2 linked regions of the Canis lupus familiaris genome follow. The protein of the gene in region 1 purifies or fractionates together with the protein of each later gene. This does not show direct contact. Links are inferred from orthologs where the notes say so. Each region holds a gene or a part of one and is shown on either strand. Other genes may lie near its edges. The genes, in order: USP13 and BAG6.

The links.
Region 2: the proteins of USP13 (region 1) and BAG6 purify together in Homo sapiens (affinity purification with western blotting; 3 studies listed by BioGRID and IntAct, with this or other methods). This does not show direct contact. The link is inferred for Canis lupus familiaris from reciprocal best matches to the Homo sapiens genes USP13 and BAG6.

Annotation. Positions count from the first base shown.
Region 1 is NC_049255.1:13,303,590-13,307,401, forward strand, and holds part of USP13 (ubiquitin carboxyl-terminal hydrolase 13), read left to right. Parts: intron 1-1,204; coding exon 1,205-1,358; intron 1,359-3,481; coding exon 3,482-3,656; intron 3,657-3,812. UniProt on the Homo sapiens protein: Deubiquitinase that mediates deubiquitination of target proteins such as BECN1, MITF, SKP2 and USP10 and is involved in various processes such as autophagy, endoplasmic reticulum-associated degradation (ERAD), cell cycle progression or DNA damage response.
Region 2 is NC_049233.1:1,274,089-1,277,900, forward strand, and holds part of BAG6 (large proline-rich protein BAG6), read right to left. Parts: exon of another isoform or gene 3,623-3,812; intron 3,551-3,622; exon of another isoform or gene 3,355-3,550; intron 3,345-3,354; coding exon of another isoform or gene 3,090-3,344; exon of another isoform or gene 2,252-3,089; intron 2,125-2,251; exon of another isoform or gene 1,981-2,124; intron 1,786-1,980; 5' UTR 1,773-1,785; coding exon 1,659-1,772; intron 377-1,658; coding exon 259-376; intron 129-258; coding exon 1-128. Other genes in the region: APOM (apolipoprotein M), read left to right, coding at 3,090-3,344. UniProt on the Homo sapiens protein: ATP-independent molecular chaperone preventing the aggregation of misfolded and hydrophobic patches-containing proteins.

The sequences.
Region 1 (3,812 bases):
TGGTATTTGGTGTCCTTGTGCCACCACGCAGAGATGGTCACACTTTGCTCACAGCAGAGTCAAATCACATTAAGTGTGTGGTTTTTATTTTTATTTTATTTATTTTTTTTAAGATATTATTTATTTATTAATGAGAGACACACAGAGAGAGAGAGAGAGAGAGAGAGGCAGAGACACAGGCAGAGGGAGAAGCAGGCTCCATGCAGGGAGCCCGACGTGGGATTCGATCCGGGTCTCCAGGATCACACCCTGAGCTTTAAAGGAAGGCGCTAAACTGCTGAGCCACCCCTGCGTCCCAGTGTGTGGTTTTTAAAAGTCCTGAGAATTCATGATGAAAGGCTCTCACCCCTACCCCCTTAAAAAAACAACTACTTTTTTTTTTTTTTTTTCTGATTACAAACCTGTTCTTTGCGGAAAATATAAAAAGGCACAAAGGAAAAAATGAGAATCACTCGTGGTAACAGCCCCTACAGACAACCGGTGCTGACATTTTGGTGTCTGACCCACCAGTCACTTTCTGGGAGCATTTATTCTCTTCATGCTGTTTTATAAGCATTGTTTTCTTTTCTTTTCTTTTTTTTTTTTTTAAGATTTTATTTATTCATGAGAGACAACAGAGAGAGGCAGAGAGACACAGGCAGAGGGAGAAGCAGGCTCCATGCAGGGAGCCTGATGCAGGACTCAATCCCGGGTCTCCAGGATCAGGCCCTGGGCTGAAGGCGGCACTAAACCGCTGAGCCACCCAGGTGTCCCAAGCATTGTTTTCCACTTATCCTGTTGTGAACATTTTGCCACATCATTACATATTTGAATGTAGTGTGATTTCTTTTTAAAATTTGTATATAATTTACACTAATGCATTTACATGACCATAGCATATGCGCCTTCATTTTTCCAGGGCAGTCCTTTAGGTTGGTTCTCCCACCCCCTTTCTTCTGATTCCATCTAGGTCAGTTCCTCTTTGATGACTGTTAGTAGCTGTGTAATGTTCATTCACATGATGAACTATAGTTTAACCAGTCCCCCCATTTTGGGATATATGGCAGTGTTTGGTTATTAAAGGACTCTGGTGAACCGCCATGCCCACAGGGAAGGCTTAGTAATGCCCAATCCTTACACCAGATTTATATTCTCTTCTATGCTGGTTTTTATTCACGGCTTAATATTTCATACTTTTACTAACCTTATATAATCTAACCTTCAGAGGAACCGCATTGGCTCTGAAAACCCAAGTGATGTTTTTCGGTTTTTGGTGGAAGAACGTATCCAGTGCTGTCAGACTCGAAAAGTCCGCTACACGGAGAGAGTGGATTACCTGATGCAGTTACCTGTGGCCATGGAGGCAGCAACCAACAAGGGTAATGGTCCCAGAGTGGGAAATTGGCCGTGTGCTTCCTCATCCGTGCAAACCCTGCAATCAGAGATAATGTGGTTTAGTCACTGCTAAGTCACGTCAGGAGGAGACCCAGCCCAGATGGTGTCTGGTTGGCACGTCTCTTTACCTCAGCCCCCATGTGAGAAGAGTCAGAGGCATCATGGGTTTTTGTTGGAGGGATTATGGATAGAACCTATTTTAGTGCCTATAAATTTGACCAACTGGTTGATTTGGAGTCAGCTTAGTTTGGGGGAATATTATTTGTAATTATAGATGTGGAAAATTCTTTAATGTTAGCGCTCAACGATTTATGCCATAAATTCTGGGGGAAATGATCAGAATCGCATTTTTTGAGGTGAGACGATCTAGGAGAGCTTGCTTGAAGTAATCTGAGAATTGAAGACGCCTCCTGTGGGAGATGCAGTGGGGCAGGGCTCTTGTAGGGAAAGGCCCCTTAGAAGGGTCTTCGGACTTTGGAAACAGGAAGAATGTAGAGGAGCTGCGGTAAGGCTGGGGTCTCTGGGAAAGACTCCTTTAGTCCGTTTGTCTGGGAGAATGGGAGAATGGTATTTCTTAGAAATGAAGCAGAAAAAGGCAAAATGTTTGCTCTATTTCTTGTGTCCTGTGAACTGGTCATTTCTGTAAAAGTCAGTAATTCACTGGGTGGCCTTCTTTCCTCTTTTTTTGTGGGGGAGAGTCAGTTTGCTGTGCTAATTGAAAAGTGATGATTATGACATTTTTGGGATGAAATGATTTCCATTTTCTATAAGCTCATGCAGCTTTTGATCAGTTTCTAAATTCTTACCCATTTTATAAGGTAGAAATGAGGGTAGGGGTCTGTAGTTTGTTTCCAGTTTAGAATTAGGCTTAATTGTTCTCTCTTCCCAGCCTTGAGGAGGTTCCACTCAGTTCTGTGATCCTCTCTAACTCACTGTTTATAATTTGTGAGTGACAACTATTCTTTTTCAGAAATATTTATAATTTAGTCTCTGGAAATTGATTGCTGGGAACACCTAATGCTGGTATTCTAGATCTAAGTACATCATAAACTGATTGTGGACTGGACAATGAATTTTAAAAAAAATATTTTATTTATTCATGAGAGAGAGAGAGAGAGAGAGAGAGAGAGAGACAGAGGCAGAGACACAGACAGAGGGAAAAGCAGGCTCCATTCAGGGAGCCCAACGTGGGGCTTGATCTTGGGTCTCCAGGACCATGCCCTGGGCTGAAGGTGGCGCTAAACTGCTGAGCCAATCGGGCTGCCCTGGACAATGAATTTTAAACCCATTTTCAGATGTGCTTAAGAAGACACAGAAGGGCATAAGGGTGCCTAAAAACTGATAATCAGGAGTGATTTTTTTGGGGGGTAAACAAAAGGAATTCCCAGAAAGACCCACTCAAAACTATGTAAAATTTTGACTTATAGGCAATTTCCAAGAGCAGATCTACTGACTCCTGGGAAGTTGATGATGTGCTGTTTCCTTTTTCCCTTGGTATTTAATTGTTTGAGTAGGAATAGTGTAGAAAGGCCTTCTAGGCTGGTAGCTCTGCTACCTGACCTTGTGGGTCACCTCATTGTCAGGGCAGTGCTGGTTAGAATCATGTGCTGAGTGGAGTGGAGGACTGTGGTCCCTACAGTTTAGCTCCTTGGTCCACACTCTCCATGACCTCTAATCAGAATGAGATGACCCTTGGGTCTCCATTCAGTGTGAGATTCTGTGATGTGAAGACTTTGTGATTGGAAGGTGGCATTTGGGTAATCCCAGCCTTGACCTCTGGACAAATGAAGGACCAGGTTTCTGCATCACTTATATCACATGTGAGGTCAGGAGGACCTCTGATCTGGGCTGGAGTTCACAGATCCCTCCCATCAGTCTCAAAGGGGAACAGGCAAAAAAATATGAATGGCTTATGCAGCCTGTCAGTGCCACTTTAAAAATGGCTCAAGAACAGCCCTTCAGTAGGCTTTTCTGGATCCATAAAGGGCAACAAATAAGTAATCCTGCCCTGGCCCAGATACCTTCAGGAAGATTGGCCAAAGGGAGTATTTTTCACTTCAAGAAGCTAGAGTGAGTACAAGTGAATACAATTTGCTCTTTTACTCAGATGAACTGATTGCCTATGAATTGACGAGAAGGGAAGCAGAAGCAAACAGAAGACCCCTTCCCGAGTTGGTTCGTGCCAAGATACCGTTTAGTGCCTGCCTTCAGGCCTTTTCTGAACCAGAAAATGTAGATGACTTCTGGAGTAGCGCCCTACAAGCAAAATCTGCGGGTGTGAAGTAAGTGCGCATGTGTATGCACTTGTGTGTTTGTGCTTGTGTGGTGATAGTGGCATGAGGAGGGGCCCTTGAGAAGTGGGGATGAGGAGGGGAGAGGTGGCAGGGTATTGTATGAGTCTGTGCACGCTTGCTCATGTGTAGTGAGATTGGATTATG
Region 2 (3,812 bases), on another chromosome or scaffold:
CCGAGTACCAGGCGGGGGTCCTCCACCATGGGTGGCTGAGGCAGATCCTATCCCAGAAGATGCCCCAGAAGGGAGCGGAGTCTGAGGAGGAGCCCGTTCCACCAGGTGAATAACCTTTCCCCCAACATCTGCAGGAAAAACACACACACACACACACACACACCAAAGCATTATATAATCAGGTAAGCCCAATGCCTCAATTCATCTCTCTAGACAGCTGCCTCAACAACCTCTGAACTGCCTCCCCCAAACTCTTACTGTATTCCTGGAGCTTCTTATCATCCTGCAGAACTCGTCCCTGATAAATGAGCCGTTGTTTCTCAGAGGGAATACTAACAGAGGCAGCAATGTGCTCTTTAAACTCCTTTACATTCATCTACAAGGAAAAAGAGACAAAAAACTAGCAGCGATTGGAGGAGAGAAGTACGGAAGGGGAACAAGTGACTTTTGGGAGTGAGGGGTAAAAACCACTCAACCATAAAACCGCTACCCATTTGTCTTGACTGTGAGGTAATTATTATGCAAAGCCCCAAACTAAGACATTTTAACACCTGTCAAAAAAGACAATAAACATTAACAAAGTTCAGATTATGTGCCCAGAGAAAAATATGTGGCTGAGAAACAGAAATACTGAGTGACATATCCTTCTCTCCCCGCTCCCAAAAGAATGTGTCTACAGATACCAATGACCCCTCCCCAAACACAAAATGCTACAACTCTGCAATCTCAAAGACAAATGCAATGATAAGGAAGCGGGAGTAGAAAATCAAGAAAGGAAGGTTCAACAGAGCAGAAAGAAAAGAGCAAACACTTTCCTAACTGTAGTAGTGATTCTTGGGAAGCACCAGTTTACATACATCTAATCACAAGGACCTATATGATTTTTTCTATATGTTTTAAAAGCTACGGAACAACCCCTCATGATTTTGTCTCAAAATATCACAGGAATTAATGGCATAACAGCCATGTCTGTGGCGCTAAAAACAAAAGATTCAAATTATGCCACACACACTAGTGATTCCGCTCAGCAGTGTGTTAGAGTTCTACCTGCATTATAGGCTCTGACTTCTAGCCTTTAAAGGCATAAAACAGGGATCCCTGGGTGGCGCAGCGGTTTGGCGCCTGCCTTTGGCCCAGGGTGCGATCCTGGAGACCCGGGATCGAATCCCACGTTGGGCTCCCGGTGCATGGAGCCTGCTTCTCCCTCTGCCTATGTCTCTGCCTCTCTCTCTCTCTCTCTGTGTGACTATCGTACATAAATAAAAATTAAAAAAAAAAAAGGACATAAAACAGACCTGACCAATTTTTAAGACTTGAGTTTTGGATCTCTGTTCTGTTTCCCTTCCCAAAGGCAGGAGCCATGTCTGTCCTCTTGGGCTGGGGTTCACTCATGATGCTGGCATACGTATTTCTCCCTCCGTATTTTCCTCTGCACTGAATTCTTTCAAGGTGGGAAAAGGCAGAACAAAATCTGCCTCATTCGACAGAATCCATACCTTCTCCCTCAACAACAAACACCAGAAAACGTCCTATCTAGAACGTGAACAAAGGAACCAATGAAGTAAGATTTAAGGACCAAAGAAATTCGGTTCTCTCAGGATAACAGACCTACAACAGAAAGAGTTAATGGGTGTCTTCCAAAAGTACTGGGGTCTCACCTGGGCCCCCACAATAAATGTCCGAGTCTGAGAGTCCAAGGTCTTCACCAGCACCTCCAGGCTGTCAGGCTCCTCCATACTGGAAGTGGTACTGGTACTATCAGTGGGCTCCATCGCAGATAGATCTCTAAAGAATAGAGGGAGGGAAGCCTCCTGTCGCCCAGAGCTGATTTTATATACCCGGAAGCCTCACCGGCTTGAGTCTCCGCCCTAATATCTGAAGAGTTTTTCCCGCACGAGCCTACACACTCACACCCGCCCCCATTCCCCTTCTGATTCCGAGGCACCAGGAGAGAAACACAAAGGGCAGGAGATCGACGGCACAGGGAGCTGGAGGACGGGCAGGTGGGAGGGGCTCCGCAATGCCAATCACAGTAAGGGAGGGCCAGTCAGGCTGGGAAGCCGGCAAAGTAGGAAGCAGGAGACTCGTGTCATCACCAGTCGCGATACGACAAAGGCCCCAAAGGTCGGCAAACCCCCGGGAGCACACGCGAGCGGGGGGAGGGGGGAGTCGCGCCAGATTTTGCGGAGACAGTGGTTTCGCGCACGCGCGCCACGCCACGCCCACCGAACCCGCCTAAATCACGACAGACCCGAAATGACGGACACGCACGGGGGGCCAGATTGGCTAGCTGACTGCCCCCCTCTTCCGCCTTCCCTCGATGCTCCAGGAGAGCGGCGCAATCAACACACACCACACACACGCACAAACCCCACCGCAACCCACACCACCACCCCGGGCTCCGCCCCCGACTTCCCCACGGTACCGTCACTTCCGGTCTCCCCCAACTTGCCACCGATGGTCACTTCCGTTTCCCCGATAGTATTTGGGGATCGCAAGGCGGTACTTCCGGCTCCCCCCAGGTCCCGAAGTTTTACTTTTGTTGGGAACGATGAGGAAGTTCGCGGCCCCAAACAGTGAGTTCCTTGGGGCCAGACGGGCCGGGGCCGGCCTGGATGGGAGGGAGCCGAACACCCCGAGGAGCCACCGCCACCGTCGCCCGGGGGGCCGTCCTGCGCCTGCGCGCGTCGCACTACGCATGCGTACACCTTTAGGCACCGCCCAACCCCCCGCTAACGCTGTTCTTGTCTGTGTACGCGCTTGAGCTGTAGGTGGTTGAGGTGGCTACTTTAAATGCCTGAAAATAATTACCAGGTGAGAGACTATGTTTCAAGAGGCTTGGGACAGTTGTGTGCCTCTAGCGGTTTGGCGACTGGGGATTATGCCTCGTGAATCTCTGTTAAAGTCTTGGCCGGCCGAGAATTTGAGGCGGCACTGCGCTGGCCTCCTAAAATTCTGTCTTCGGCGCCTCCGGAAGTCCTCCTTTCTCTAGGCGTTGGAGGTGGTTCGCGAGCAGCCGGGGCGTGCCGCCGCGTGGTTGCGGCCGACCTCGGCGCTGCGTGGTGGGCGTTTGGCTGGACGCGGGCGCCATGTTCCTCGGTGGCAGCGTGCGGCCGGTGGACACGCCATGTTGTGGAGCAACTACGGATTCACTGCTTCACAGGACTCTCCTCAGGAAGGGCGCCTCCGAGTTTGGGAATTGGAAGGGAGTGGAGTTGGACTGGGCCGAAACACAGGATTCCGGCCCTGGAGCACTGAAGGGGCCACCGAAGGGCTTCCGCAGGCCGGGGTCCCCCGGCGGACTGGGCAGTGCTCACCGCCTGAGCCCCCAACCTCGGCCTCGGGTAGGCCTGCCTGCCTCCCTTCCGGGCCCACGGCCTTTGTGGGGCCTGTCGTTCCTACTCGATTCCCAGTACTGATTCATAAGAGCCCTAATAAATAATTGTTTAGCGAGCACTTGGTTTGTAACAGGAATATACTCAGGGCTTTGCGTACTGTCCTGTTTAAAAGCCTTTCAATACCGGAGATGGTCATTACATCCATTTTATAGGTGAGTACACTTAGGCAAAACTAAGGCAGAACCGACAAACCCCGGCCTACCAGCCCCCGGGTCAAGCACGTCTACTTTACTGCCCCAATAAACTACTGTATTTTATATATATTTGCTTCTTACTATAAGAAATGGTAAACATTAAACAACAAAAAAAAAAGAAATGGCAAACATTACTCCCAGATGTTATAATGAGCCCTCATATACCCGTTACCCAAATTTTCTTTTAACTAAATCACAATCCCATAACAAACCCTACCAC